Struthio camelus: one gene and its partners. Each later gene encodes a partner of the first gene's protein in a complex. Links are inferred from orthologs where the notes say so. Each region holds a gene or a part of one and is shown in the gene's direction. Other genes may lie near its edges.

What was found.
Region 2: PPP4R2 (region 1) and PPP4C share a complex: the UniProt entries of both Homo sapiens proteins name them as parts of the PP4 complex. The link is inferred for Struthio camelus from reciprocal best matches to the Homo sapiens genes PPP4R2 and PPP4C.
Region 3: PPP4R2 (region 1) and PPP4R1 share a complex: the UniProt entries of both Homo sapiens proteins name them as parts of the PP4 complex. The link is inferred for Struthio camelus from reciprocal best matches to the Homo sapiens genes PPP4R2 and PPP4R1.
Region 4: PPP4R2 (region 1) and PPP4R3A share a complex: the UniProt entries of both Homo sapiens proteins name them as parts of the PP4 complex. The link is inferred for Struthio camelus from reciprocal best matches to the Homo sapiens genes PPP4R2 and PPP4R3A.

What each region holds. Positions count from the first base shown.
Region 1 is NC_090955.1:5,358,763-5,366,721, reverse strand, and holds the start of PPP4R2 (serine/threonine-protein phosphatase 4 regulatory subunit 2), read left to right. Parts: upstream 1-4,949; 5' UTR 4,950-5,115; coding exon 5,116-5,149; intron 5,150-5,812; coding exon 5,813-5,894; intron 5,895-7,959. UniProt on the Homo sapiens protein: Regulatory subunit of serine/threonine-protein phosphatase 4 (PP4). May regulate the activity of PPP4C at centrosomal microtubule organizing centers.
Region 2 is NC_090973.1:990,408-998,060, forward strand, and holds the start of PPP4C (serine/threonine-protein phosphatase 4 catalytic subunit), read left to right. Parts: upstream 1-4,651; 5' UTR 4,652-4,704; intron 4,705-7,532; exon of another isoform or gene 7,533-7,540; 5' UTR 7,541-7,544; coding exon 7,545-7,642; intron 7,643-7,653. Other genes in the region: ALDOA (fructose-bisphosphate aldolase A), read left to right, coding at 1,792-1,887. UniProt on the Homo sapiens protein: Protein phosphatase that is involved in many processes such as microtubule organization at centrosomes, maturation of spliceosomal snRNPs, apoptosis, DNA repair, tumor necrosis factor (TNF)-alpha signaling, activation of c-Jun N-terminal kinase MAPK8, regulation of histone acetylation, DNA damage checkpoint signaling, NF-kappa-B activation and cell migration.
Region 3 is NC_090943.1:116,180,152-116,188,015, forward strand, and holds the start of PPP4R1 (serine/threonine-protein phosphatase 4 regulatory subunit 1), read left to right. Parts: upstream 1-4,863; 5' UTR 4,864-5,115; coding exon 5,116-5,122; intron 5,123-5,223; exon of another isoform or gene 5,224-5,315; coding exon of another isoform or gene 5,316-5,323; intron 5,324-5,575; coding exon 5,576-5,620; intron 5,621-5,693; exon of another isoform or gene 5,694-5,736; coding exon of another isoform or gene 5,737-5,755; exon of another isoform or gene 5,756-5,870; intron 5,871-7,864. UniProt on the Homo sapiens protein: Regulatory subunit of serine/threonine-protein phosphatase 4. May play a role in regulation of cell division in renal glomeruli. The PPP4C-PPP4R1 PP4 complex may play a role in dephosphorylation and regulation of HDAC3.
Region 4 is NC_090946.1:65,507,887-65,515,417, reverse strand, and holds the start of PPP4R3A (serine/threonine-protein phosphatase 4 regulatory subunit 3A), read left to right. Parts: upstream 1-4,523; 5' UTR 4,524-5,145; coding exon 5,146-5,287; intron 5,288-7,531. UniProt on the Homo sapiens protein: Regulatory subunit of serine/threonine-protein phosphatase 4. May regulate the activity of PPP4C at centrosomal microtubule organizing centers.

The sequences.
Region 1 (7,959 bases):
CTTCAGAACATACAGTTGTCTGCCTTTTTTTTATGATTCTGAAGAGGACCCAATCTCGTAAAATGTCTACATTTTGTCATTTTAATTCAAACTTTCTTCCAGCGCTAAGATATTTGTAACCAGCACATAATGTTTTGTCTGTCTTCCAAAAACTTTGGTTTTGTCTGGCTAACAATAAGCAAGCAGGGATGATCCCGCAAAGGGCAGTGATCCAATTAAGCTTACTGAACAGAATTACAGGTTAAAATGGCACACTTAACAGCATTGTTCAGTTTTCTTTATGCACCCCTTACAAACCTGTGTAAAATATAAAATGCTGTCATTTTTACTTGGTAAAAATAGATTTAGATTTAGGATAGGTTTGTCATCTATTCTGACCAAATGGAAGGAATCAGACAAGCTGCTAACAATGAAAAGTCAATGTTAGTATATGGTTTGTTTACTTGTGAATTCTACCGCATTTTGAAATAAAGATCTTCCTGCAATGCCATTCCCAGTGTATCACTGTAGTAATTTATTTAATATACTACAAATGTGATAAGTGCTACACTTCAAAAGATGTAAGTCCACTTTTCTCAAACTAGGAAATAAAAGGATTGGAAGGAAATGAGAGGTGGTCTTCCTCTACCAGCTAAATCCTGCAGAAATTATGATATTAACTTACACCTTGTTTCTAGAAACAAGATCTGAGCATCTGTGGCTCCTAATGGCATTACCTATCCTCAGAGCAGCATCCGTGTTACAGAGCAGTGCCAATTAGATTTATAACTTGCAAATAACAAAGGTACAAAAGGTAATAGGGCTCCAAGCGTACCTACCACATGATACAGCTGTAGACTCAAACCTCACTTGCTACTTTCTGAGTGCAAAGAAGTGGCTCTAAAGTACTTAATTAAAAGGTTATATGAGTGTGTTATGTTCTATTACAAGCTGTTGAATTAGTTCTATATTTCTGTACAGAATGTAGTAGAGGAATTTAGAAAAAAACATATTCCTTTTTATTCCCTGCAACTAGCTTTTTAACTGAAGAAATGCTATGTTGTCCCAGTTTTCAATATTAATTCTAGGTGTCTTGGGAACGCTTTTAATTTTTTTTCTGTTTTAGCAGAACAGGCTAGCAGCACAGCTTTTCAAATTGACGGTAATTATGGTCTTTATTGTGTTCTTGGTGATACCTCCAAATGGAATGGGATGTTGTTTAGGAAGATTGAATTTGCTCTCATAGGGGTTTTTAAGTGGGTTGTCTAACTGTACTAGACTTTAAAATGTATGTTTATGCCTCTTCTAGGCTTGTTTTGGCTGTTGGGATTCTTTAACAGCAGTCATGCTGGGAAATGCAGTTCCTCAGGAAGAGCTGAAAATTGAGGGCATGTGACCACCTTTGAGAATTATTATAAAGAACAAGCTGTGCTGTGGATGAGAGCCGATATGGTATCTGGGGGTAAATGTAGTCTGCTAGGATATAGACATGATTTAAGAGAACCTGTGCCCTATGTTCTCCACTGTTCTGTTTTGCTGAAGGTTAAAAAGGTAAGCTAGTTTTTTGTTACTTTAACTGGACTTTTATACCTCTTTTGTAATAATAAAGTGGATCCCAAGGAAAAGAACATAGGCTAACCTGTAATCTGAATTGTATGTTCCTTTTCTATTGCCAGTGCATCTGCTTACAGGCCTCAGCACTTCTGTTTTCATTTCCATATCCACTGTTTGCTTTGAAACCTTCCCCTGTCCTCTGTCAAGTCTTTTCTCAATGCAGTTCCTTTCTTGTTGAAGAGATTTTTTCACTTGCTTGCCATGAGTACCCACTGATGTTTTGGGGGAGGACATTAATACCGTAGAGAGTAGATTATTGTCCAAGCAAACTAATTTAGTTTCGGTTTGTAGAGATTTCTAATCCTAGAAGGGTAAACATACTACAGAGGGCATGAGATGGGGAAAGTCATGGTAGCAGAGCTGCAAGGGCAGGAGAGCTACTAATACAAATTGTTAACAGTGCCCTTGGCTAACTTCAGAGAAAACAATTCAGTATTCATTTCTCTTAAGAATATATGCCTTAGCTCTGCTGTTACTCATTCTTTCAGCATGTTTTTATGATGAACAAAGTGATCAGAAGAAAATGGTAGCTAAATTCATTAAGGTTTTATTAATTCCACCTCATGCGCTGATTTTTTTTTCCCCCACGGGTTGGGGCAAGTCCTGTCTTTGTCTCTGTGGTTCTTTGTGTGCTTAATAGGGCTAGTGATGCTGGCCCGAGGCAAGGGAATCCCTAACGCAAGAGAAATGTACAAGAAGGTAAAAGTGCCAAGTCCTAAGTATTGTTGGGATTTTTCATGTCCAGTAGGGAATGTGATTTTCCTTTATAAAAAGCTGAGAATTGATCCATGGCACAAAATAGACGATGCCTTTGTAAAGCATTTAGAAGTAGCAGCACTTGGAGCTAGACTTTCAACAACTTTCAGCTATTCATACTTAGTCAGAGAGAGCCCCAAAGTATTAAATCTGAAGTACCTCTATCTGCTCTAAACTATTTTTGAAGTTTATGAGAGACACTTTCCCTAAACTCCCTGTCATAGCATAGCACAAGCTTCAGTCACCTTGAGCTCAGTTTCTACCTCCCTTATTTTGTATTGGACCTGATCTGCAACAGTTTAATCTCTTAAAATGGCATCCTATAACAAATTGTCTCAACAGTCTTAAGTGCCACTCTTCCTCTTTTATTAGGAGATGAGAGCAAGGCATGGTGCATGTTTGGCCCTGACAGGTACCTTAAACAGCAGGGCCCGTCCCATGTGGTTGGCTTGGTCGACTGCTGCTTCCCTTTTTCCCTTCACCTTTTGATCAGATGAAGGGAGAGGGGACCACAGAGGTTCATTCACTGCCCTCTCTACTCAGCATTTCTGTGCCCTATTGCAGCTTTTACAAAGATTTGTTGTTAAGGAAGGTTTTTCACAGAACAGTATAGAACAAGGGATTTGTACTGCTCATCTGTAAATATGAAACCTTAGATATTCCTGTTAGTATTGTATAGTTCTAAGGTCAGAGACCCTGAGGGTCATCTAGAAGGTCTAGACCATACAGGTCTTGATTCCAGAAGCCAGATGAAAGTTAGGGTTCCTATATGATGAAAATGCCAACACAGACTGTTAATTCCACAGCCTGGATATTCCTACATGATACAATCAACACAAGGAACCAGAGAAAATATCTTTCAGCAAGGATGTGCTTGCCATAGGTACCAAGGTTGTCTTTTAGCCATTTATGGTGGTCCTCAAACCTGATCATTCAGCTATGATGTTAGCAGCAGTTGTAAGAAACGGAGCTGTATCAGAGGTTCTCTGGTACGTTATCGACCTGGGAGAGCAGAAAAGTCAGTTCAGCCACAGGCATTATTATCTTTTTAGGGACTGCTCTGAAACGGTACGATAGATCCGGGACTCACAGGGCAGGCCAAGAGTGGTGGGGACGGGACCTGCTTCGCCGTGCGCGGGGCAGGAGGGCCGTCAGCATGCGCATGAGGCCTCCAGAGGCGCCTGGGCCACCCTCCAGGTCTATATCAGGATTGTACCTAATAGTAAATTACAGCAGATGCGCCGGCTCACACATGCCTAGAGTAACAGTTGGCATCGATATTTGGCTACCTTTTTCACAACATCTCTCTCTCTCTCTTTTTTTTTTTTAACAAGCATTTCCATTTTTTTTTGCAGAAGTGTCCACAGCAGGCGAGTCCATATGCCAATGGCTGGCTAAAACCAGCCGACAGGCGTCTCCCCCTCGCCCGGACCCCGGCCACCGCCGCTTCAGCCTGGACTCTGCCCCGATCCCCTCCTTGCTCATTCGGAGCCTTTTCCAGAAGGAGCGACTGCCTGGCCTTCACCACCACGTTTTTAGGGACCTTTTCCAGAAGGGACCAAGTGCCTGGGCTTCACCACGTTTTTAGGGACCTTCTCCAGAAGGGACTGACTGCTCGGCCTTCACCACCGTGTTTTTAGGGACCTTCTCCACAAGGGACCGACTGTCTGGCCTTCACCACCACATTTTTAGGGACCTTTTCCAGAAGGGACCGAGTGCCTGGCCTTCACCACCACGTTTTTAGGGACCTTTTCCAGAAGGGACTGAGTGCCTGGCCTTCACCACCACGTTTTTAGGGACCTTTTCCAGAAGGGACTGAGTGCCTGGCCTTCACCACCACGTTTTTAGGGACCTTTTCCAGAAGGGACTGAGTGTCCGGCCTTCACCACCGTGTTTTTAGGGACCATCTCCAGAAGGGAGCGACTGCCTGGCCTTCACCACCACGTTTTTAGGGACCTTTTCCAGAAGGGACTGACTGCTCGGGCTTCACCACCGTGTTTTTAGGGACCATCTCCAGAAGGGAGCGACTGCCTGGCCTTCACCACCGCGTTTTTAGGGACCATCTCCAGAAGGGAGCGACTGCCTGGCCTTCACCACCGCGTTTTTAGGGACCTTTTCCAGAAGGGAGTGACTGCCTGGCCTTCACCACCACTTTTTTAGGGACCTTTTCCAGAAGGGACCGAGTGCCTGGGCTTCACCACGTTTTTAGGGACCTTCTCCAGAAGGGACTGAGTGCCTGGCCTTCACCACTGTGTTTTTAGAGACCTTCTCCAGAAGGGACCGACTGCCCCGACTTCTCCACCACGTTTTTAGGTGTGGTGAGAAGAAGGGAGCGTCCTACGCGGTCAGTACTGGGGGCGGGGAGGAGCCGCCTGGTTAGGAGGCGCCTCTCGTGTCGCGGCTGTGCGTGGGCAGAGGCGGGAGGGCGGGAGCCGCCTCGAGCAGGACAGCAGCGCGGCAGGGCCACCCCCGCCCCGCCTGAGGCGGCCGCAACCGCCGCCCCTCCACTCCGCCCCGCCCCGCCCCGCGCGCGGCGGCGGCCCCGCCCCCCGCGCGCCACCGCCGCCCCGCCCCGCCCCCCCGGCGGGAGAGGGGGAGGGCCGTCGGGGCCGCGCACGGGGACGGCCCGGGCGCCATGTTGGAGGGTTGCTGAGCCCCGCGTCTGTCTGTCTGTCTGTGTGTGTGTCTGTGTGTGCGCGGCGGCCGGAGCCCGTGTGCTGCGCGGGCTGGGGAGGGGGGGGGCGCGGGGGGACGCCCGGGCGGATCATGGACGTCGAGCGGCTGCAGGAGGCTCTGAAAGGTGGCGCCGGGCGGGGGAAAGCGGCGGTGGCGGGGGGGGGGGGGGAGCTGTGTCCCCTCACGCTGAGGCGGGCGCGGGGGGGGGTCTCTGTGGGGGCGGTGGGGGAGGGGGAAGCCGAGGCCTGGCCCCAGCGCCCCGACAGCCACCGGGGGGGTTGGGGGGGGGTGGCGGCCGCCGGTCCCTCCGCTCCGGCCCCGGGCCGTCCTCGCCGCTGCCCCCGGGCCGGGGCCGGGGTCGGGGCCGGCCTGCGCTGCCGCTTCCCTCGGCCAGGCGCACGGACTCCCCCCCCGGCCCGGTCCTGTGGCAGCTCGTCTGGCTGGACGCAGCCTGAGGAAATCGGCCTCTCTCGCTCTCTCTTTCTCTCTCTCTCCACCCTCCCCCCCCCCGGTAGCTGCTCAAAAGAAGTTACAAATCAACTTTTTGCCCCTGGGATGTGTGTAGTTTTCTTCACACGAGAAGTATCAAGTGTTTTGCAGGGTTGGAGGGCTGGGGGAGCTCTTGGGAACAAACTGAGGAAGTGTGGAAATGTCTTTTTTTGGGGGGGTGGGGGGAAGGGGGGAGCTGTGCGGATAGTTGAAGCAAATCGATGCCTAATTGTTACGAATTTTTGTCCTGTCCTCTCTTCTTTTCCTATTGCTTTCGTGTTCTTCCTCGTACCAACAGATTTTGAGAAGAGAGGAAAGAAGGAAGTGTGTCCAATACTGGATCAGTTTCTTTGTCATGTTGCTAAGACCGGAGAGACCATGTAAGTGTGTGACTTCTTGGTTGATCTTCAGTTGTAGCTTATAAAGTTTCCCACGTTTTAAGTGAATGAGATGATACCTTTTTTTTTTTTTTTTTTTTGGATCTGTAGAATGATTCCATGAGCTAAATAAGCTTGCTGTAGTTCTCAGTGTAACTTTGAATGATTAGTTTCATTTGAGGATAGAATTAGTTTTTTTCTAACAGAGAGCACAGATAGCTTTTTTTTTTTGTATAGACTTTGCTCAGGCTTATCTCTCAGGTTTTATTGATGCTGCTCCATACAGTAAACCTGTTGCTTTTTCTGCGTTTTACGTGACATTCAGGTTTTTTAAACTGAAAGTTTAGCGCGTTGTTGCAATGTCCGTTGTACGCAGTAGTATTGTTTACACAGGGATACGAATGGTTCAGATCAAATTTTCCAGGCTTTGTGTAACTTGCTGTGCGATGATTGCGTCTAGATGCTTTCCAGGAGGAGGGGAGAACCACCCAGGAGCTCTCTGCAGAGAGGCGCAGGGGCAAACTTGTTACCCTGCCTTTCAGTGGTCTCTCGTGTTTTTTCAGCTGGCCCCAAAGTGCTTCTGTTTCACTTTTCCTGGGCTTCCTTTTGTGGAGGGCCAGTGGGATTTGGGCCCGCGGGCGCTGTGGGGAGCGGGGTTACCGCGCTCCTTGTCAAGGATGAGGCCGGTGCTGCTGGGGGTGACTTCCTGCTTGAGCACTATTTGGCAGGAAGGGGAAAGGCTTCCATGGGTGCCATGCTGCAGGTGGCTCACTTTCTGGCACTCAGGCTGTCTCCTTGTTTTTGAGGCCTAGCGCCAGACTACACAGGCTTTAGCGATACATGCTTTTACCGGTGCTTTATTAGCAACTAGTGATTTGCAGGGGCTTTGTTCTGATTTCTAGAATCCCTCTCACTCGTAAGAGGTGTCTTTACCTTTTTCTTTTTTTTTTTTAATAGCTTGCTAGTACTATTTAAATTAATAGTTTTGAAAGAAAAACAAGTTCTGAAATGTACTTTGCCCTTTGAATGGAAGGCTTTGGCTCAGCAGAAAAATATACAGCTGTAATGCTTAATATTCTAGAATAACACTCATTTTAGTATGGGCCTAAGGTAGTGGTTTTGTTTGTGTAGTGTGTTTAAAATATTCTTCCTGTTCTGAAATGTTTCTTAAGGCTTTTTTTTCTTGTTTATGCCACTGTTACATATATTCCAAAGCAATTTTTAAAAGCAATTGTATAGGGGTGATTTCTTAAGAAAATTCTTCCTGAGGTAAAACTTGAGAGTATAGTTATTATATGTTCTGAATTTAAAAAAAAAAAAATCTAGATTTTCCAAATGTAAACAAGAACAAGAGTTTATTTGATTATTGCAAACTATTGCTTAATCCGGAACTCAAATCTATCATCTGGAACTTCATGCAGGCCCTGGCCTTGTATGTATTCAGGGTTTTTTTTTTTTTTTTTTAAAGCTCTATAGCTTTTTTCAACATTCTTGGACCTTGCAGTTGCACTAAATTGTTTTTTTAAAAGTGTCAGACACACTTCAGACATCCGAAGTATCCAATATCATCTGGAGACAGACATGGAAATACTGCTCAGTACCACTTTATTTGCTTCCCGTTATCCATCAGAGTCTATATTTCTTCATCTGATATAGTGATATTTTCATTAATATGTTATATATAAAAATATCAGGAGGAAATTGATAGCAAAATGTCCTGGTGGGCATTCATAACAGGGAATATGTATTTATAAGAATTTAATGTATGTTTTTAGAATACAGGCTAGACTACTGTAACACTGATATTTTAAAAGTGTACCTGAGTACACAAACTTGTCAGATGCGTGTTGATTCACACTGAGCTAAACGTTCTTTATTTCCTTTCATGTAAAAAAACCTTTTACTTAAAAGAAATCCAGAACAGTAAGACATAGATTTCATCCTCTAGTTCCAAGACAATCCAAAATAATAGTTTGCAGTGACATTTATTAGTATTTTTATGAATTTCAGGTTTCAGTTTGAAAAACTGGATGGTTAAGTCAGGAGTAATTACACAAATGGTTTGCAG
Region 2 (7,653 bases), on another chromosome or scaffold:
GGTCCTGGTGGGATGTGGGGACATTGGGACGGGGGTCCTGGTGGGATGTGGTGACGTGGGACGTGGTGACGTGGGGATGGAGGTCCTGGTGGGACGTGGGGACGGGGGTCCTGGTGGGACGTGGTGACGTGGGGACGGGGGTCGTGGTGGGACGTGGGGACGGAGGTCCTGGTGGGAGGTGGGGACGGGGGTGCTGGTGGGACGTGGGGACATTGGGACAGGGGTCGTGGTGGGGCATGAGGACATGGGGACGGGGGTGCTGGTGGAACGTGAGGACGTGGGTGCTGGTGGGACATGGTGACATGGGGATGTGCGTCGTGGTGGGACGTGAGGACATGGGGATGTGGATTGTGGTGGGACGTGGGGACGGGGGTGCTGGTGGGACGTGGGGACGGGGGTGCTGGTGGGACGTGGGGACATGGAGATGGAGGTCCTGGTGGGACGTGGGGACGTGGGGATGGGGGTCGTGGTGGGACGTGGGGACATGGAGATGGAGGTCCTGGTGGGACGTGGTGACGTGGTGACGGGGGTCATGGTGGGACATGAGGACGTGGAGACGGAGGTCCTGGTGGGACGTGGGGACGGGGGTCGTGGTGGGACATGAGGACGTGGAGATGGAGGTCCTGGTGGGAGGTGGGGACGGGGGTCATGGTGGGACATGAGGACGTGGAGATGGAGGTCCTGGTGGGAGGTGGGGACGGGGGTCGTGGTGGGACATGAGGACGTGGAGATGGAGGTCCTGGTGGGAGGTGGGGACGTGGAGATGGAGGTCCTGGTGGGATGTGGGGACGTGGTGACGGGGGTCGTGGTGGGACATGAGGACGTGGAGATGAAGGTCCTGGTGGGACGTGGGGACGTGGAGATGGAGGTCCTGGTGGGACGTGGTGACGTGGTGATGGGGGTTGTGGTGGGACATGAGAACATGGAGATGGAGGTCCTGGTGGGAGGTGGTGACGGGGGTCGTGGTGGGACATGAGGACATGGAGATGGAGGTCCTGGTGGGACGTGGGGACGTGGAGATGGAGGTCCTGGTGGGACGTGGTGACGGGGGTCATGGTGGGACATGAGGACGTGGAGACGGAGGTCCTGGTGGGACGGGGGGACGGGGGTCGTGGTGGGACATGAGGACGTGGAGATGGAGGTCCTGGTGGGACGTGGGGACGGGGGTCGTGGTGGGACACGAGGACGTGGAGATGGAGGTCCTGGTGGGACGTGGGGACGGGGGTTGTGGTGGGACGTGGGGGCATGGAGATGAAGGTCCTGGTGGGACATAAGGACATGGGGACGTGGGTCGTGGTGGGACATGGGGACATGGGGACGTGGTGACGGGGGTCGTGGTGGGACATGAGGACGTGGAGATGAAGGTCCTGGTGGGACATGAGAACATGGGGACGTGGGTCGTGGTGGGACATGGGGATGTGGGTCCTGGTGGGACATGGGGACATGGGGACGGGGGTCGTGGTGGGACACGAGGACGTGGAGATGGAGGTCCTGGTGGGACGTGGTGATGTGGTGATGGGGGTTGTGGTGGGACATGAGAACGTGGAGATGGAGGTCCTGGTGGGACGTGGTGACGTGGTGATGGGGGTTGTGGTGGGACGTGAGGACGTGGAGATGGAGGTCCTGGTGGGACGTGGTGACGTGGTGATGGGGGTTGTGGTGGGACATGAGAACGTGGAGATGGAGGTCCTGGTGGGACGTGGTGACATGGGGACGGGGGTCCTGGTGGGACGGGGGGACGGGGGGAGCGCGGGCGTCCGCGGCGTGACGCGCGGCTCCCTGCGCCCGCAGGCCAACTCGCTGGCGTGCCAGGGCAAGTACGCGCCCAGCGGGCCGGCGGGGGCCGCCGCCAGCGAGTCCCTCTTCATCTCCAACCACGCCTACTGAGGGGCCCCGGCGTCCGGGGCCGCCCCGCCCCCCCCCCGCCGCCGCCGCCTCTCCCGCTCCGGCAATAAACGGCATCTGCCTCCGCACCCGCGTCTTGGGGGGCCCGGGCGGCCGGGGGAGGGGACCCAGGTGTCCGGGGAGGGGCCCAGGTGTCCGGGGAGGGGCCCAGGTGTCCGGGAGGGGCCCAGGTGTCCCGGAGGGAACCAAGCGTCTGTAATGGGCCCAGGTGTCCGGGGAGCGGCCCAGGCGTCCTGGAGGGACCCAGGTGTCCAGGAAGGGGCCCAGGCGTCCTGGAGGGACCCAGGTGTCCAGGGAGGGGGCCCAGGAGTCCAGGGAGGGGCCCAGGCATCCGGGGAGGGACCCAGGTGTCCAGGGAGGGGCCCTGGCGTCCGGGAGGGAACCAAGTGTCTGTAATGGGCCCAGCTGTCCGGGGAGGGACCCAGCTGTCCGGGGAGGGACCCAGGCGTCTGAGAGGGGCCCAGGCATCCGGGAAGGGCCCAGGTGTCCTGGAAGGACCCAGGCGTCTGGGGAGGGGGCCCAGGAGTCCAGGGAAGGGCAGAGATGTCCGGAGAGGGGCCCAGGCGTCCCGGAGGGAACCAAGCGTCTGTAATGGGCCCAGGCATCTGGGAGGGACCCAGGTGTCCGGGGGAGGGGCCCAGGCGTCTGGGAGGGGCCCAGGCGTCCTGGAGGGACCCAGGTGTCCAGGAAGGGGCCCAGGCGTCCTGGAGGGACCCAGGCGTCCTGGAGGGACCCAGGAGTCCAGGGAGGGGCCCAGGCATCCGGGGAGGGACCCAGGTGTCCAGGGAGGGGCCCTGGCGTCCCGGAGGGAACCAAGTGTCTGTAATGGGCCCAGGTGTCCGGGGGGACCCAGGTGTCCGGGGAGGGGCCCAGGTGTCCGGGGAGGGGCCCAGGCGTCTGAGAGGGGCCCAGGCGTCCGGGAAGGGCCCAGGTGTCCGGGGGAGGGGGCCCAGGCGTCCGGGGACGGGGGCCCAAGCGTCCGGGAAGGACCAGGGCATCCGGGGAGGGCCCAGGTGTCCGGGAGGGCCCAGGCGTCCGGGGAGGAGGCCCAGGAGTCTGGGAAGGACCAGGGCATCCGGGAAGGGGCCCAGGTGTCCCGGAGGGAAGCAAGCGTCTGTAATGGGCCCAGGTGTCCGGGGAAGGGGCCCAGGTGTCCGGGGAGGGGCCCAGGTGTCCGGGAGGGGCCCAGGTGTCCGGGAGGGAACCAAGCGTCTGTAATGGGCCCAGGTGTCCGGGGAGCGGCCCAGGCGTCCTGGAGGGACCCAGGTGTCCAGGAAGGGGCCCAGGCGTCCTGGAGGGACCCAGGTGTCCAGGGAGGGGGCCCAGGAGTCCAGGGAGGGGCCCAGGCATCCGGGGAGGGACCCAGGCATCCGGGGAGGGGCCCTGGCGTCCCGGAGGGAACCAAGTGTCTGTAATGGGCCCAGGTGTCCGGGGAGGGACCCAGCTGTCCGGGGAGGGGCCCAGGGGTCCGGGGAGGGGCCCAGGCATCCGGGGAGGGACCCAGGCGTCTGAGAGGGGCCCAGGCATCCGGGAAGGGCCCAGGTGTCCTGGAAGGACCCAGGCGTCTGGGGAGGGGGCCCAGGAGTCCGGGGAAGGGCAGAGATGTCCGGAGAGGGGCCCAGGCGTCCCAGAGGGAACCAAGCGTCTGTAATGGGCCCAGGTGTCCGGGGAGGGACCCAGGTGTCCGGGGAGGGGCCCAGGCGTCTGGGGAAGGGCCCAGGGAAGGGCCGAGGTGTCTGGGGAGGGACCTAGGTGTCTGGGAGGGGCCCTGGCATCCGGGAGGGACCCAGGCGGCTGGGAGGGCCCAGGCATCCGGGGAGGGGTCCAGGTGTCTGGGAGGGGCCCAGGCGTCCGGGAGGGGCCCAGGTGTCCGGGCAGGAAGGGGCCCAGGAGTCCAGGAGGGCCCAGGTGTTCGGGAGGGCCTAGGTGTCCAGGAAGGGGCCCAGGCGTCCGGGGAGGGACCGAGGTGTCTGGGGAGGGCCCAGGCATCCGGGGAGGGGCCCAGGCGTCCGGGAAGGACCCAGGTGTCCTGACAAGGACCCAGGAGTCCGGGGAGGGGCCCAGGTGTCCGGGAGGGGCCCAGGCGTCCGGGGGGACCCAGGTGTCCGGGGAGGGACCCAGGCATCTGGGGAGGGACCCAGGAGTTCGGGAGGGGCCCAGGCATCCGGGAGGGGCCCAGGAGTCCAGGGAAGGACCCAGGCATCTGGGAGGGACCCAGGTGTCTGGGAGGGGCCCAGGTGTCCAGGAGGGGCCCAGGCGTCCGGGAGGGGCCCAGGCATCCAGGGAGGGGCCCAGGCATCCAGGGAGGGGCCCAGGAGTCCAGGGAAGGACCCAGGTGTCCGGGAGGGGCCCAGGCATCTGGGAGGGACCCAGGTGTCCGGGAGGGGCCCAGGCATCTGGGAGGGACCCAGGCGTCCGGGGAGGGGCCCAGGCGTCCGGGGAGGGGCCCAGGAGTCCGGGAGGGGCCCAGGAGTCCGGGGAAGGACCCAGGTGTCCGGGAAGGACCCAGGAGTCCGGGAGGGACCCAGGAGTCCGGGGAAGGACCCAGGCGTCCGGGGAGGGGCCCAGGCGTCCGGGGAGGGGCCCAGGCGTCCGGGGAGGGGCCCAGGTGTCCTGGAGGGCCCAGGCGCCCTGGGGAAGGGCCCAGGCGTCCGGGGAGCCCCCGGCGAGCTCTCCCCGCCCACTGGCTCGCGCCCCGTGACGTCACGCCCTGCGGGGCGGCCCTCCCGCACGTCACTTCCGTCCCGCCGGTGGGCGGGGCCGGGGCCGGAAGTGACGCGCGGCGGCGGCGGCGGCCGGGTGCGACCCGCGGCGGGTTCGGGGGTCGCCGGGGGGGTTCGGGGGGGGCCGGTTGGGGGCCGGTTGGTTTTTGGGGGCGGCTGGGGGGTTCTAGGGGCGGTGTGGGGGGGTTGGGGGGGTAGTTGGGGTGTTGCGGGGGCGGTTTGGGGGGGGTTGGGGGCAGGTTGGGGGGTTTTGGGGGTGTTTTGGGGGTGTTTGGGGGCAGTTTGGGGGTTTTGGGGGTGTTTGGGGGCAGTTGGGGGGTAGTTGGGGTGTTGCGGGGGCGGTTTGGGGGGTTTTGGGTACAGGTGGAGGGGGTTGGGGGCGGTTTGGGGGTGTTTGGGGGCAGGTTGGGGGGTTTCGGGGGTGTTTGGGGGCAGTTGGGGGTTTGGGGGCAGTTTGGGGGGTAGTTGGGGGTAGTTGGGGTGTTGGGGCAGTTTGAGGGGGTTGGGGGCGGTTTCGGGGTGTTTGGGGACAGGTTGGGTGTTTTGGGGCAGTTCGGGGGTAGTTGGGGTGTTGGGGCGGTTAGGGGGGTTGTTTGGGGGCAGGTTGGGGGGTTTCGGGGGTGTTTGGGGGCAGTTTGGGGGTAGTTGGGGTGTTGCGGGGGCGGTTTGGGGGGTTTTGGGTACAGGTGGAGGGGGTTGGGGGCGGTTTGGGGGTGTTTGGGGGCAGGTTGGGGGGTTTTGGGGGTGTTTGGGGGCAGTTGGGGGGTTTTGGGGGTGTTTGGGTGCAGTTGGGGGTTTGGGGGCAGTTTGGGGGGCAGCTGGGGGTAGTTGGGGTGTTGTGGGGGCAGTTTGAGGGGGTTGGGGGTGGTTTCGGGGTGTTTGGGGACAGGTTGGGTGTTTTGGGGCAGTTCGGGGGTAGTTGGGGTGTTGGGGCGGTTTGGGGGGTTGTTTGGGGGCAGGTTGGGGGGTTTTGGGGGTCTTTGGGGGTAGTTGGGGTATTGGGGCAGTTTGAGGGGTTTTGGGGACAGTTTGAGGGGGTTGGGGGTGTTTGGGGGCAGGTTGGGGGTTTTGGGGGGCAGTTGGGGGTAGTTGGGGTGTTGTGGGGGTAGTTTGAGGGGGTTGGGAGCGGTTTGGGGACAGTTTGGAGGTTTTGGGGGTCTTTGGGGGCAGTTTGGGGGTAGTTGGGGTGTTGTGGGGGCAGTTTGAGGGGGTTAGGAGCAGTTTGGGGGTGTTTGGGGACAGGTTGGGGGTTTGGGGGTCTTTTGGGACAGTTTGGGGGCAGTTTGGGTTTTGGGGACAGTTTGAGGGGTTTGGGGGCAGGTTTGGGGTAGTTGGGGTGTTGTGGGGGCAGTTTGGGGGGTTTGGGGACAGTTTGGGGGGTGTTTGGGGGTGGTTTTGGGGGTCTTTGGGGGCAGTTGGGGTTTTGGGGCAGTTTGGGGGAGTTTGGGACATTTTGGAGGGTCTTTGGGGGCAGTTTGGGGGGCAGTTTGGGGGTAGATGGGGTGTTGGGACGGTTTGGGGGGGTTGGGGGTGGTTTTGGGGGTGTTGGAGGGTCTTTGGGGGTAGTTTGGAGGGTTTGGGGGCAGTTTGGGGGTAGTTGGGGTGTTGTGGGGGCAGTTTGGGGGCTTTGGTGACAGTTTGAGGGGGTGGGAGCAGTTTGGGGGGTGTTTGGGGGCGGTTTTGGGGGTCTTTGGAGGCGGTTGAGGTTTTGGGGCAGTTTGGGGGTTTTGGGACAGTTTGGGGGGGTTTGGAGGCTGTTGGCGTAGGTGACAGTTTGGGGGCAGTTTGGGGACAGCTGGGGGGATATTTGGGGGCAGTTTGAGGGATTTTGGGGGCCACTTGCGGTTTGGGGGCAGTTTGGGGCAGTTTGAGGGGTTTCGGGGGGCGGTTTGAGGGGTTTGGGGAGACTTGAAGGGATTCAGGGGCTGTTGGGGGAGTTTGGGGGAGCCGGAGGGATTTCGGGGGCAGTTGGGAGGGTTTTGGCTCCGTTGGCGAGGGGGGTGGGCAGGTTTGGGGGGGACGTTTTGGATTTGGGGGGCAATTGAGGGGATTTAGGGGACAGTTGGGGGGAGTTGGGGGGGCAATGGGGGCCCGTTGGGATGTTTTGCAGAGCGCTGGCGCGATTTGGGGTCAGGCTGGGGGTTTTTTTTGGGAGCGGTGGGGGGGGGTCACTTTGGGGGTCTTTAGGGGCACTTGGGGATTTTTGGGTCACTTTGGGGGTCGTCGGGGGGTCGGGGGGGCCGTTGGGGCCTTGGGGGGGGCATTTGGGGGTCGTCGGGGGGTTGGGGGGGCCGTTGGGGCCTTGGGGGGGCATTTGGGGGTCGTCGGGGGGTTGGGGGGGCCGTTGGGGCCTGGGGGGGCATTTGGGGGGTGCAAGCGGAGTTGGGGGGGTCTGGGGGCAATTGAAGGCAACGGAGGGGCAGTTCAGGGGGGGCTGGGGGGGGCTTTTGGGGGGGTGGAGGGCAACTGAGGGGTCCGGGGAGCGATTAGGGGCTCGGGGGGGGTAATTAGGGGCTGTTGGGGGCACTTGGGGGTGTCGGGGGCAGTTAGGGGCTTGAGGGGGGGCTGTTAGGGGCATTTGGGGGGCAATTGGGGGTGCTGGGGGGCAGTTAGGGCATTGGGGGGGCTATTGAGCAGGTAGGGAGTCGGGGGGCAATTAGGGGTGGGGGGCAACGAGGAGGGGGGCTGTGGTGTCCGGGGGGGGCAATTAGGGGTTGTGGGGGGGGTTAATTAGCCCTGATGGGGGGGGCAATTACCGTCCCCCCCCCAAGTGGCCATTTCACGTCACCTGGGATTGACGAGCCAGCACCGATGGGGGGGGGACGAGCCTAGCTGCCGTTGGGGAAAAGGGGGCAAAATTAAGTCATGGGGGTAATTAGGGGGGGCTAATTAACAGTTAATTAGGGGGGCAGGGCCATGGGGGAGCCGAGCGACCTGGACCGGCAGATCGAGCAGCTGCGGCGCTGCGAGCTCATCAAGGAGAGCGAGGTGAAGGCCCTCTGCGCCAAGGCCAGGTACCCCGGGG
Region 3 (7,864 bases), on another chromosome or scaffold:
CGAGGATGAAAGGGGAGGATACCAGTGACTAGCTACAATAATGTTCCAGGTGCATACCTATGTGGTGGCTGTAATTTCTTGAAATAGTCGAAGTTCAGACATTGTTTCTTTTTCTCTCTATTTAAAAACAAAATCTGCAAGAGGCATTTCAGCATGGAAAAGGTTCTCAGTTTGTGGTCGCCCTGTCACGTTTTCTTCCAGTATGTCAGTGGGACATAGACTTCCGAGAACCAGGAAATCCAGAGCTACGGCACATCAGCCCACCCTGAATTCTGTCCTGTTTGAGCAGTGATTCAGTCTTCCCATGCAATACGTACGCAGGACCACACACATCATTCCTGACACAGAGCAGCTGACGGCTGTAGCACAGCTCTGTTAAAGGAAAACCTGCGTTCAGGTGAGTGGTACTGCAAGAGCATTCCCTGTGTGTGTGCGTGTGTGCATTTCCGTTGAGTATGCTGCACCCAAACGCTGAGACACAGATCCCTGAAACAACTTCATGTACATTAATTCTTTGTCCTCTTTCACTTGCGCACCTACAAGATCAGATATAGAGGCAGACTTTCAAGTTGCCCACCATATACCTCACAGGACCCACTCAAGCAGTGCCCTCAGCCAAAGGAGCTGGGGATTTACCACTGATGGTGTCTGCAGCAAAAGGAGGCTTGTGGGCTCCCTCGTAATAAACACGCCTCTCTTTCTTTTGACCACACACAACTCCGCTACCATCTCATGCCACTGATGCAATAGGTTTGCCTACAAATAAATGCCAGTAGCCATTGCAAGCTCCCAGTGCAGCCTTAAGGTTGCATTAGTAGGTGCCTCAGTTTTGTACGTGCTAGTTTTCAGAAGTTTAATTATCACTGAACTTGACTTCCTGCAATGACATGAGATACCCACGAGGCAAACTTAACTTTACGTTAGCAAAGTTCTTTGTCAGCAAATTTAGACTAATTCATTCATGGCTGTCATACCAAAAAGCCTCCTAGATCCATCAAATCCTGTATCTCAGCAGAGTCCTGAACAGGTACAACTATTCACGTGCAGTCAGCAAAATTACTAATATGTATATTGTTTACAATCTTTCTGCGAGGCCTGCACTTGGAGCAGTGACAGCTGCATTCTGATATTCACAAATAATCACCAGCTCAGGCTCTTACTCAGGAAAATGGGGAAATTAAATAAAACTGTGGTGCACAATCAAAAAATTTGTCATCCACGAGTGATGAGTCAAAAAAAAAAAAAGAACTCAGGTATTTTTTACTGGGGGAGAGAAAAGCACAACAGGTAATAGGAAAGGGAAGGGAAGAGAAGGCTTTACAATGTACAGCCCTTTTTAGCATAAATGCTCCAATAGATGATGTATTTTCAAATGCAAAATTAACATGTTTCAGGCTTCAGCCTCCAGGTTTTTACATATGTCCATTTGTATTATAGGTACTCATTTGTTTATGTGGGTATATATAGTCTAATGCTTGTGAGCTTCAGTCATGGGCCAGTTTGAGCTAGACACTACAAAAAGAACAAAAAGATGGTCTATAAAGTAGACAACTCATTGTTTTACCGTAAAGCAAGAGACAACAGATGTATGCAGACAGAATCCCGGGGGAGGGCAAGAAAACTATGAGTCAGTATTACTCAAGAGGATGAGCAGTTGTCTCAGTGCACCAGAAGTCTAACCCTGAAAAAAGTTTTTTGTAGGCTTTACAGGAAAAGAGAGTTTTTGAGGAGGAATCTGAAGGAAGGTAGCAAGATGGCTTTGCAGATATTTATGGGAAGGACTTCCCACACAGGAAGGGAAGCCTGGGAGAAACGCAAAGCGGGTTAACTTGCGGTCATTGAAAGCCTGGCATTGTTTTCTGATCAAACAAGGAGACTTACTTCTTCACAGCAAAGGAGAGCAAATAAGATATTTTCACGTGTGAGTTCTTGGGCCTGCAGTGTTCTCGAGCCTGAGGCCTTTATGCCTGCAGCAGTTTTGACTGAAGAAATGTCAGTAACCCAACTTCAGAATAACTTTTTGCAAATACACTCAGGTGGATATGAGGTATCTTGTGTTTAACTTGGTCATTTTTGTAGTTTTGAAAAGATTTATGAAGTACTTTATATAAATACTATAAGGATCTTGTTAATTGCTATGGGCTTTTCTGAGATAAGTCACGTATATATAGCAATAAAGATGTCTTCTATCACACGTGAAGACTCTTGCCACAGTGTCTTCCATTTGTATCTTCTCATTCATAGCCTTGGCGTCCATCCTTTGAGCGTATTTTTCTTGGGATATAGCGTTCAAACTTGAGTTTATCTATGCCTTAAATTTCTTATTTTCCAATGCCTTTAAGGGTAGTCAAACAGATTATTAGAACACCAGCACAAAATGGGCTAGAATATTTTGGTAGGTGCAAAAGTATCCTTAACACGCTTCAGCTAATAAAATGAGAAGTTTCTTATGAAATTTTTCTTTCAGAATTAGATACATTATTTTATGAAAGTCGGCTCATCACACTATCTGAGAGAATCAGTGCGTATTCTTAGAATATACTTAGAAGGTTTCTATTTGCCTTGTTTGTGACCAGTAGGAATCTGACAATTAACCTGAACTTTAGGTTAGGCCCTTAAATAGTGTCTGGGGAGATCAAGGTATAGAATTTATGGTCTCCTTAAGCCAGGAAGTTTAGAAGTAGGGCTATCTAGTTACTTATTCATTATGTGGGATTTGGTTTTGTGTGGTGGCATGAAGCCAAAAAAGGGATTTTTCTCCACGTATGTGTCACGGTATGAGCCAAAGTTTTTGCCTCAGTATTTTTATTTGCATAGGAAGAGACCTTTCCTGCTGACTACTAACAATGGTACTAGGACCAGTTTCATCTGAGGAAAACAGTCTACTAGTTCACTTGTAGGAGAAACAAAAAAGCAATTCCTGAGCAGTTATAATTTGTCTTGTAAATCACCCTGACCCTATCCATATTCCCACCTACAAACAAAGAACTAACCACCACTTAGGAATACCCCATTCACATAGGAAGACCCCAAAATTGGTGTTAAATTATGTCAAGTATGCTCTCTTGCATTCATCATTTTACCCTGTTCTATTACATAAATGGTCAAGGTAGTTTTGATGCTCTCAGACCATAGTAATCTATATTTAGTATGCATTACTACCTGTTTGTAACGAGTAGGAAAAAGGAACGGAAAACCTTGGTTCCTTCAAGAACAGCAAGTGCATACATTTTAGGCAATTGCTACTGACTTCAGAAGAAGAAAACCAGGCCTTGATTATGGTGAAGACTGTAACGTGGAGAAGAAAGAAACCTTCCTGGAAGTAATGTACAGTAATGGAGCTAATAAAAAGTTGTTCTTTGAGTATGCTTTATTTTTGTGTTCTAGGCCTATTGCTATCATATCCAGCATCGCCAGCTATTTGTGATGTCAAATATTTCTACCGAGTCTTCTCTTAAATTACACTGGTAGAGAATAGCATGGTCCATATCATGTAGTCATGGTGAATTTACTTGATTTACTCAGTTTTTAAGGTTATATATTTGAATGAAAGAAATGCTGGATAATCTGCATCCAGTGGGCCCTAGTGATTTCTCTAAGGTTTGAACAGCTGTGAAAGAAAGCAGTTTGTTCTTACAGGAATGGAAGGAAAAGGATGTGTGCAGTTTCAAGAAAGATTATACATTTTCAGCCACTATGGCAAAAAGAAGGAATTACTATAGGGATTAAATCCTTAAGTGATTCACAAAATAAAATGAAAACAATGGTTCGGTATTAAAAAACTACTTACAAGACATGACGTCAACCCTGTTGAGTTAAAAATTGATCTACTAAAATTGCATCCCTTCTGAATAAAATGGACAAAAAAAAACTTGTTTTGCTATTCTATATCTTAACAACACCAAAGATGATTACAGAGATAACAAAAAGATGGTGGAACACTCAAGACTCCCAGTTAGCATCAGTTTCGGTAACGGTCCTTTTCTTTAGCAAGTGCTACGGGTAGCTGCAAATTAGAGCATTTGTTTTATCCAGCTTCTATAATCTTCCAATTTACAGTGGAAAAATCTATCAAAATAAGTACAATTAATGACAAAAACACCCCCGGTTTCGGAGGGCCGGTTCACCAGCCGAACTGTAGAGGTGCCTCCACGCGAGTTACGCGCCAGGCAGGAGGTTGCCGGCTGGCTAAGCCGGCCGAGGTGTCCGGGTGGTGGCCCGGCCGCTTTGCGGTGACGGTTCTCTGCAGGGTGACCTCACAAAGCCCCAAAGCCGGGACTTTTGTGACCCGGCCGCCTCGTGGGGACCCTTCTCTGCAGGGTGGCACTAAAAAGCTCGCGGGAGGACTTTCGTGGCCGGGACACCTGGCAGGTGACCCCACAAAGCCCAAAGGCGCAGACTTTTGCGGCCTGCCCGCTTCGCAGCGACCCTTCTCGCCGGGGTGACCCCACGAAGCCCGAAGTGGGGACCCCTCGGGCGAGGGCAGGGCCGCCTGGCTTCACCGCCAGCAGCCGGGGCAGCACCAACGCCAGGCGGTGCGGAGCGGGGGAGCCGGAGCCTTTTGAGAGGCGGCGGGGGGTGGGAGGGGAGGGGGAAGACGCTAGGAAGGAGCCGGCCGGGCCAAGGGGAAGCGGCGTCAGTGCCAAGCGGGCTCAGGCCCCGGCAGAGCGGGCGGCTGGGGGGGGGGGGTCCGCCAGCGGCGGGGCTGGGGCCAGCGGCGCGGCCAGGTGAGCGGGGCGGCCGGGAGGCGGTGGCCCCCCGCTGTGCCCCGGCCGCGGCGCCCGCGGGCAGGGCTGGGCGGCTCCGGGCGTGAGTCAGTGCGAGGGGCGGGGAGGCGAGGCGAGGCGAGGCGAGGCCGGGTGCGAGCGCGGCTCCGCCGGGCGGAGGCGGGGGCAGCGTGTCCAGCCCAGACCCCTCCTCCCGCCTTCCTGCGCCCGCCCGCTCCTTGCGCCGCTCTCTCGGGGACACTGGGAGACGCTGCCGCCGCCGCTGCCGCCGCCGCCGCCGCCGCCGCCGCCGCGCCGGGCCTGCCCCCCCCCCCCGCCGCCGCCGCCCCGCTTCGCCGCTCCGCAGCGGGTTCAATGTAGCCCGGCACCCCGTGGGGGCTACAGCAAAATGGCGGGTAGGTAGCACCCCCCCCTTCCATCCTCCCCCTTTCCACACACGCCGCCTCCCTAGCGAGGCACCAGAGCCCTCCTCCCCCCTCCTCTCCCCTCCTCCTTCTCCCCCGCCCCGGTTTAGGAAGCGCTTCCCGCAGCGGCGCCCCCTCCCCGTGTCTCCGTCCGTGCGTGGGGAGCCGCCGGGGTGGGGTTGGCATGCGAAGGTGGGGCGGGGGAGGGGGTCCGCGGGGCGGGCTCGCGCGTGGGCGCGCCGGTAAGGTGCGTGCGTGGGGGTCCCCTCCCCTGGTGGAGGGGGGGGCGCGGCGGGCGGGCTGCGCGGGTGCAAAGCGCGGCCCCGGCGCGTGCGGGCGGCGGGGCCCCGTGGGTGGGTGGGTGAGTGGGGGCGTGGGGACACGCGGGGGGCGGCGGCGGTGAAATGCGCCGGGGCGCGTTGGCACATTGTGTGTCTCCCGCAGATCTGTCGCTGCTCCAGGAGGACCTGCAGGAGGAGATAGACGGCTGTGAGTGGGGCCGGGGGGCGCTGGGGCGGCCACGGGCCGGGGGCTTTTTTGCGGTTGAGGAAGTAGCTTCAAATGTGAATGCCCACGGTGCATTGTGGGAGGAGGAGGAGGAGGCCATGCTCCGCGCTTCCTTATGTACATAAAATCCAGCCGGGCGTGCGGGGGGCAAGGCCGGGCTGAGCAGGGCTTTTCCTGGCGGCGGCGGCGGTGGGGGCTTGCGGAGCGGGGCAGGCTGGAGTGAGGGGCTGCTGTAAGCGGGCTAACGCGGCCGCAGGGAAACGCGCTGCGTTGGGCGGGCGCGCCGGGGAGCTGCCGTTAACGGTCGTCGCGCGAGGGCCGCGTCCCTCGCGCGGCAGCCGTTAAGGCGGGGAAGGGGGGGAGCGGGTGGGGAGGGGGCGGTCATCGCTCCTGAATTGCGTGGGGAGCTTCTCAGGAGGAATGAGCCGGGTGGGTGCTCTCGAGCCTGAGGCCTGTGGAGTTTGTTTTGTTTTGGTGTCCCCCCCCCCCACTCAGCCCCCTTCTTCTTGCAACTGATGGGGAGAAGGAGAATCGATGTTTGGGAAAGTGTTACGTCGGGGGGGGGGGCAAGTTGCAGTACATGATTCCCGTTCAAAGTGCTAGTTCAGAGGTATGAAGGTTGAAAGTGAGGGCTGTGCAACGTGAATGCAGGTGAGAAGGACGTATATGGGTAGTGTCAGTGTTAAAAGAACTTGGAAGCCAGATGAATTTTATATAGAAAGTGAAAATGGAGGCGTCAGCTCTTCTTGAGGTGATTCATAGCATAGGCTTCGGCTATGCGGTCTGCTGTAGGTTTGCAGACCCTTGTCACTGTCTGAAGGTACTTTGTCTACTGTGCAGCCTTCACAAGGACTAGATTGCAGCAGTAAAAGCTTTCTTGGCTTAAATGCTTCTGGGAATGTTATTTACACTTTCCAGAAGTTAACTGGAAACATCTTAGTTGTCTTCTGTTTTGTGAACTGATTAAAATTTGTTCTATTTCTTTTTATGTTGTGTATTGCCTTGCACAAAGAGAGAGCCTTTTTGTAAGACTCTCCTCCCCCTCGCCACCCAGTTCTGATTGCTTGAAAATCAGATTGGTAGTGTAGCTGTTTGAAAACTTTGTGATTAGGTGAGGACTTTTAGAAAAGTGTCACACTTTTAAGAATGTATGTCTTTTTTTAATTTCCACTTAGACTGTGATTTTTTTTTTTCTTGACTGTAAGACAGTAGTTGAAGTAAGAAATGATTATAGTCTTTAGAGAGATGATTTGTAATCCTTGGGTTCCTGGAGGTGGCTTGAATGTTGCAGTCTTGCCTTTAAAAAGGAAGAAATTATATATGCATGGAGATATGACTCAGTTCAGATGAGAGCATTTTGAAGGCAGCAGCCATAGAAATCTAAAAATTTGAAGCCTCATAAAAAATTAGTGAGGTTCTGATGGAAGTAGATAAAAGTGAATAGCTCATTACTTAAGTGTATTATTTTTAGAGAAAGCAGGAATCTGCATGAAACAGCATGTGCTGTCTGGACATAATTTGGTCACACCTGATGTCTTCTACAGTTTTGAATTTTATGTGATTTTGTTTTCGAGAGGTGGACATGAGCTAAAGAAAAATAACACAGACTGAAGAGACTGTATGTATGTAGTCGATAGCGTTATTTCTTACACTTCTTTGAAATAGTCATGCTTTGTATCTATGTACAACAGGTCTTATGCAATTTATGAAAGCTTTCCCAGTTGATGCATTATTTAGGATTACATTTCATGTTTGCACATGTGAAATAGGCAGTTTCAAAAAAAACGACAAACGCTGCAATTTTTGCCTGGCTTTCCCAGGCCTGAAACCCCAGCCTACAGTACCTCTCTGTTGTACGTTTGAAAGCTACTGTTTTCAGCATTGGAGTTAGAAACTGGTTTTGAGACGTATTCCGGAAGTAGTAGAATGTACTTGTGAGGACACTGGAAGTGCAGGCAGCTTTTATGCGTGTGCAGTTCTGCCAGCTGTGGTCTTGCTATTAGATGTGCTAAGCTATAGTAAGGACAAGCAAGGAAAAGGAAGCGTGGGCATACCTGTAGTCCAAGTGGTATAACTTAGAAATTATGTAAATGTAAGATAGTATGAATTATAAGAAAAGACTGAGATGAGATAGACTGGCTGGCATAGATTTTCAGTAAATCTTTGTGTTTTTTAATTGACTGGGTATCAAGCAGCAACAATAAAAACATCTCATCTGCAAACTAC
Region 4 (7,531 bases), on another chromosome or scaffold:
AAGATAACAGTATGGGTTGAAAGAAAATAGATGACCTTTCTGTTGAAGGGATTCATACGCACACTACGTAGGAGGAAGAGTCACAGAACTTTAACTGCTGACACAAGTTCAGGTTTGTGGTTCAGGTATAAAAACAGGGCTACTGTTTCTAGGGGGATCTGTGGCAGGATGTGAAAACTGAGCAACAGCATCTGAGACATGATTCATAGGGTATGTGTGCAAAACTGTGCATACAGCAGGAATTTGAGATGCTGAAGTGAGCCAACCCTCGATCTGCAAAATATACAGTCATTAAGGGGAATCCTTTCTGCCCCATTTCAGTTTCTCAAAATCTTTAAACAATGACACCAGAGTTATAAAAACATTGCATTAAAGCTATAGTCCTGATGTTGAATTCTTCCACAGCTTGCTGGCTTACAATGCACCCAAAAGGTATTAGCCCTTTTAGACTCATGTAAGAAGTTAGTATTGAATTGCTTGTTCGCTATGCAGCCCAGCCTCTTCCAGAGGTGCTTTAACTTTTATAGGTGTTGTCTTGTATTGTGCTATATCTCAATGGTCCCACTCAAGAGGTCTAAGTTAGAGCACGACCAGGACATCCCCAGCTGCCCACCCTGCCTTCTTCTCTGGATGTCAGAGCTGCTTATCCATCAGCTCCTCAATCAACCCAGTTTACAGCTCAAAGTTTAAGGAAAAGCGTCACTGTTTGCCTTAAAAACGCTGTCACAATTTGGGAGGTGCTTCGTGAGCTCACAGACATTTGTACAGCCAGAATAGGCCAGAAGCAGCTGCCAGTAACCTTCGCAGCTGTCCCAGGCTAAGCCATCCCTTCTCGTCAGTCAGGGCTTTCAGTAAGTGAACCAAGCTGTTCCTGACCACTCTGTCCTCAGCAATATTTATAACTCTTCCAGTCTCTCTCTGCCATACACAATTTTCATTCAGAGATTTTATATTAACTTTCTAATTATTACTACAAATCCTAAACAGCATCAGTCCCACTCTTGATTTCTGCACGATTATCTGGAGTCACCTCCACTGAATAATGGTTCTGAGCTATGCCTGTCTCTCAGCATCTGACCCATGTGGCGTGGGCTTTCTTGATAGCATACAATGCCGACTTTCCAGAAAAATACCTGAGAACTATCCAAGTATATTATATCTGCACCATTACTCTTACAAGCAACTTTGTAATCTAACAAGAGATTAAACAATTTTGAAAGTCTTTTTTCCATAAAGCCACATCAGCTGCTATCGCTATGTTCTAATCTTATAATTCTTACCGATACTGTGTATCGGTATTTATTGTTGGTCTGTGATTGTTGTCAGATAAATCAGTCCATTATTATCTATCTGTTCCAACATGTCCTATTTGAATTCTTACAAAGTGTCATGTCTTGCAGAATTTCTGCAATACTTGCAGCTTCTTAAAAAATTAGCATGTTTTCATACCTCACATATGCAAACTTCTTTAGGACTCCCAAATTCCAATTTTTTAGGACTTGCATATTTTCAAATGTTTATCTCTAAGATAAGTTATTTAGTGTGCTTCTTAGTAATGAACAGGGAGGCACTTAGTCATCTTCATATGATATAAATACATCAAAATTCTTTCCAAGTATAGAAAAAAATGTTAAACAGTTCTACTTTTTGTATCAATATCAAAAATTTTTTAGTTGTGATATCATAGGCCTGGGATACCGTTAAGATTTGGAAAACTTGAGCTGTTCCTAAAACTACCAGCCATACATATTCTGATGTCCTCATCCATTTTTCTATGCTTTCTAGCTTTATTGCGCAGATTGCTAGAATTGTCATTTTTCTACTTGTTGTTTATGTTTATTTCTAACTGTTGTGTTCACCTCCCCATTGAACTAGAAATGTATTTTTCTGAATTTGCTGTCTGAGTTATGTCCCGCTTAATTTCTTCTGGACAGACACCCCCTACTTTGCTACAATTTTTCTATATAATGTTTCTTCTCAGTCACTCATTTTCCACAGTTTTTTGGATATAAGCCCTCTAGACAGCCAGTTCTCTGTGCTCTATTTAGTATGGATTTTAACCTTGTTTTCACATACAGAATGTAACCATATCAAACTCAGGCAAGCAGAGACTTTGATTTTAATAATTTTTTCATCTTTATCATAATAAAGTCTGAAGTTGTTAATTTCTCTAATATGATTTTTTTTTGTCAGAAAATCATTAGCTATGTTTTTAGGAGCTCTAATCATGCTTTAGTGCATACCTTCAAGATATATGTCTGCAATGGAGTTCCTCCTAACAATGTAATTTTCTTTCCCAAAGCTGTGAGCAGATATTGAAGGAAAAAAGTCATCTTCCTTAGTTCTGACTGCTGTGCAGGAGGCCCTCAGTAGTAAACCCCTTCTAGGCTTTATTCATTAGTATATTGATCCATATGCATTTATATATCTAAGGATATGAAAGGTTTAAAACTGTGTTCAATACTCCATTTCCTTATTTATTACTCAGTTCCAGGTGGGCCAAAACTACTGCCAGGACAAGGTGCTGGGTTATTTACAGGAACTAAGTGAGCCTAAGCTTTTGGTTCAGTTAAGGATGACCTCTCAATATCAGGAGAATCCCTGAAGATATTTCCTTTGGGACACACAATACTTCATACCTCTGGAAATGGAGAAGGAATTGAGATGTCACGTGGCAAATTTTGTCTTCTAAATCATGACTCTGAGAAAAATAAACTGAGTGTTTTCTTCTTTGGCATCTGCTTTCCATCATGGGAGGATGCCGTCAATGCCCAGCCTTTCTTCTGGCATCACTGCGGTGGAAAGTTTCGAAAAAAATGACATCCCCCACCAAATACAATGAGAATTGAGATAAAACCTGACAGCGGGCATACTGTAGGACTGAGCATTGTTCAGATTGATATTAAGATAATACAAAGAAAATTAAGAAAAGCTGAACCCCAAATGTGCACAAAGCTAACTTTCTATGCCAACTAAAATCTGATTGAGCTTTTTTTGAATTCACCAAAAAAAATAAAAAACCAAAAGAATAGTCTATTGTTAATCCCACGGCCACCAGAGGGTACAATTTGTAAATGAGTGCAGCTGTCCCACAGAGGTTTCTGTAGGTGACGTTGGCCTGTTTTGAAGTCACAAAAATCCATCTCCAGAATTGCCCAAGATAAACGCGTGAGCAGCACCTCCCCAGGTATGGCCACCCGGGGGCTTCCTCGGTCACCAAGACGGGGGCGCTGAGCGCCTTTTTGTGCCCGTGCTGCTGGAGGGCCTCCCTTCAACAGGGCCCATAACCTACGGTTCTCAGAAAACCAAGTCCTTCCAAGCCAGTAATTATATCAGCCCCAACATAACTCACTTTCATAAACAAATATGGAATACTTTGAAAAATAAGCCAATCTAAGTATATAAATTGCAGTGAGCTCCCATGTACGTAGCATGTCCAGACCATGTTCTGAAATGGACTCGCTTGCGTGGCGATATGTCTGTGGGCTCCAAAAGGCACTAGTGGTTTTTGCCTGTGGTTTTTTTTTTTGTTATTTAATATTGATCCATCCTTAAAAGGGGAATCTGTCAAACATATGTTCAGATGTTGGCAGCAGCGGCAAAAGCAGAGGCTCAACAGCTTCGGCTTGTTACTGCAATTGTTAGAGGTCGCGCAGACCCAAGAGCCGCTCGACCAGAAGCCGTTTAACTTTTGGATCACTCAGCAGGGGGCGACGGGGGGAAAAAAAACAACCAAAAAAAGATCCGATTCCCCCCCCCGCCCCATGAAACCACTCTTTGGCAAGAGGACGGCTCCAGACGCGCGCAACAAAACAGCCGCGACAACCCCACGGTCTGCTCCCCCTGGCGGCACCCCCGCCCGGCCTCACGGCGCCCACGGCCGCGCGGGGCCACGTGTGTGCTGCCCGGCAGGGACGGCAGAGGCAGCGTGCTGCGTGACGGGGGCTGCGCGGTGCCAGGCGGCGAGGCGTGGGCGCTGCGGCCACGCGTGGGCGCGGAAGGAAGCGCGGGGCCGGCGCCGGACCCCGGCCGCAGCGGGGCGGCTGGCCCTTTAAGCGCTGGCGGGCGGCCCGTGCCGCCGCTGGCTGGGAGACCCCGCGCCTCCAGTGAGAGGTGAAACCAAGATGGCGGCCGCGCAGTGACTGAGGCGGAGACAGAGGCGGTGGGAGCCGGGCTGGACGGGCCGCGCCACGCCGCCGCCGCTCGCCCCTTCGGCTGGGCAGAGCTCCCGCCTGCCGGCTGCGCCGCTGAGTGCCTGGAGTGCGGCCACGCCGCAGGGCGCGCTGAGGAGCCGCGAGTGAGCCGCCGCCGCCGCAGCACCGGCAGGAGGAGGAGGAGGAGGAGGAGGAAGAAGAATATGGCGGCGGAGTCGGGCTGGGAGTGATCCGCCGCCCGCGACGGGAGCCCATGGGGGAGACGGGGCGCTGAGCCCGGCCGCGCGCTCCGCCCCGCCGCGGGACAGGCGGTGCCCGCCGGCCCCACGCGAGCCCCGCCGGGGAAGGAGGGCGGTTCCTGGGAGCCCCGCGCTGACGGACGGCGAGCCAGGGGCTTCGGGCCTGGGCAGCTGCCGCACAATAGAGCCGCGCTCGGGCCGGGGCGAGCGGCCCCGCTCCCGCCTGCCTCCCGCCGCCTGCTTGCTCCTGCCGGCCGCGCCGAGCCCGTCGCCAGGGCCCCGGCCTGCCGGGTCGCCCGCTCCTGTCAGCCCGGGCCGGTCGGTCGGCCGGCCGCCGCCGCCCGTGCCTTCGGCTGGCCCCTCCAGCCCTGTGGAGCCGCTTCTCCTCCGGGACCCCTTCCTGGCCGCCGCTTCTGCCTGCCCTTCGCCCCGCAAGGAGCCTCTCCGCGGCTCTCCCCAGCTTAGGCTTGGTCGCCTCTTGTGCAGCACCTAACTGTCCCTGGAACAGCTCGCCTTTCACCGCCTCGGCCCCCCTTCCTGCCCCCCCCCCCCCAATCCTCTGTTACTGCCGATAATGAAGATCGTGTTGGAGCACTGAAGAGGACTAAGAAGAGCTCTCCTGGCGTGCCCGTGTGGGGCTGCTACCCTCCTTCCCGCTCCCCTCCTTTGAGGGGGGCCGAGCCCCCCGCCAACCTCCCGCTTCTTCAGGTCTTGCAAGCCAGGGTGGTGGCAGTGGTGTGGCAGGCGGCAGGATGACTGACACCCGGCGGAGGGTGAAGGTGTACACGCTAAATGAAGACCGCCAGTGGGACGATCGAGGCACAGGGCATGTGTCCTCTTGCTACGTGGAGAGGCTGAAGGGCATGTCCCTGCTAGTCAGGGCAGAGAGTGATGGTAAGTGTGTATATGTGAAGCTGTTAGAGCCTTTCCTCGTCCTACTCCAAAAAGGAGTAGGAGTTGGCTTTATATGTATGTCTCTTGCCTTAACGTTTTGCTGCATAATTCGAATGTAATTCCTGAAAGCAAGTAGGCATCAGCCATAGTTCATTCTTGTTAGGCCAAGTGAAAGGAATGGACGATTGCCATCAAGTGCAAACATTGTAGTAGGCACTTGGTTCGTAGTGAATACAGTACTGCATGCCAAATACAATGAAGTCTAATTGCAAGTCTTGTGCAAGATTGGGTATCTGATGATACCTAGTCTACTCCAGACCCAAAACTGATCATTGTGAATGCTTCCTTGGATGTTTCTGGAAGCAACCCCCTCATGAAGGGAGTTGCTTAAAACTTAGACCATACTTTTGGAGGGATTTAAAAAAAAAAAAGTCATTGGATGATTAGATGGCTAACATCCTTTATTTTTCTTTCTTTTTTCACCCTGTTTTCTTTGGTAGTAAGATTTTACAGGGCACTAGCAGCTAACAATAATTATCAATGTGCAGTTGTAGTAGTAAAGACAACACAATGGACAGAATAGCATTTTCAGAGATGCTTTATTTTTTTTCTTGAAATAGTATTTTTCAATCCTTCAGCAGTTTTAGATCTGCCTGTAAATAAACTTAAGATGATGCATAATCCTTCACGATTTTTGGCAAAACCTACTACAGTTTAAGTGGTAGTAATATTTACCCCTGTAGCTACATGTTTGGACTAGTCTTGGTTATTGGATGAGTGATTTCCTGACTGCTGCGGTCCGAACAGATTTTAAACAGCGTATCTTGCAATACCTCGTGTGTACTATTTTGCTAGTAAAGTCTGTCAATGCGTGACTGACTTTTTCATTAAATATATAGCCACTCTATCTAGTGACTTAAAGATCTAGTTGTGACTTGTGCCTGGCAATAGGCGTTTTATTTTTATTATTGTTATTTTATCTGGCCTTTTCATTATAGAAACTTGGATGAGAGGCAGCTCCAGAATCATCTCATGTCTGAGAAAGTTCTGACAAACTGTACAGCAGTCTCTACAATAAAGAGATAATACGCAGATATGGAGGAGTCAAATTTGCATCTGAGCAGGATTTTGATCATTAAGTTTCTGATAAGCATGAATCTCAGATTTTTGTAGTTTATTAATTATTCTTTAAAGTCTTGTGTTTAAGACAAGATGTCTTTAAGACTTGTTTGTCTTCAAGACTTGTTTTTTAGTTTTCTTTTACTAAAGAAGCTATGGTCTTTATTTTGGTTTGACCAGCTTCCTAGTGTATGACAAAACATTCAAAATGGAAGTAGACTTAGTTTAGTTTCGACATGAGTGAGGGAGGTTAAAAGAGAAGGAAGGTCATCACTCAACTTTTAAACTAATCCTGTGTTCCAGTATATTTTACTGTAGATATAGTCCTTGCTGTCTACATGGCTGCTGTACTCAGGAGACTCTCTTAGCTAATGTTTAAATACTGTCATGTCCTGTTTTTATACTCTAATGATTAAAGTTTCTGATTTTTTTTTCCTTTTCTTAACAGAAGAAAGCAAAAGTACTGCAGTTGGTAACTTGATTTCAAGTAATTGTCCATTCAAACTAAAATACCATTTTAGCAACTTTAGGTGGGATATGTATGTTTAAAACTGATTTGTACCTGAGTTCAACTGCTGTTGCCAGCTTACTTATTGTAAATGAACTTCTGTAAAAAGGAAAATATAAACTGGTGTGAGTGATCTCAGAGGAAATGTGGAGTCATTACTTTCAGTGCTACACAGTTCAGACACTAAAATAGTTAAAGAAGGAGTTGTTCAAACTTATGCTTCTGTGCATTAGCTGCAGTTATTTAATACACACATTGGACTTTTCTCAAACAGCATATACTTTAACAGTATTGAATAATATACAGAGCTAAAGTTCTTAATTTAGTAGGTAGGATCAGTCCTGGTCAAATGTGCAGTCTATTAATAGGCTTAGTTTTTCTAGCTTGCTTGCGCAAACACCTCCTAAAATTTGATTTATATTTTGTTTACCCTGGTAATTGGTTTGTAAGCTAATTTTGAAGGCAGATGCAGTCACTTATAAATGCAGGCAAATGATTTGAAAAAAGGTGATGCCAGACTTATGTTTTAGATACTATGAAATTTGTTGTATTCCATAGCTCTTGTTTTTCTCCTAACTAGAAAAATCATGGTCAACCACTTCATTTATCAAAAACAT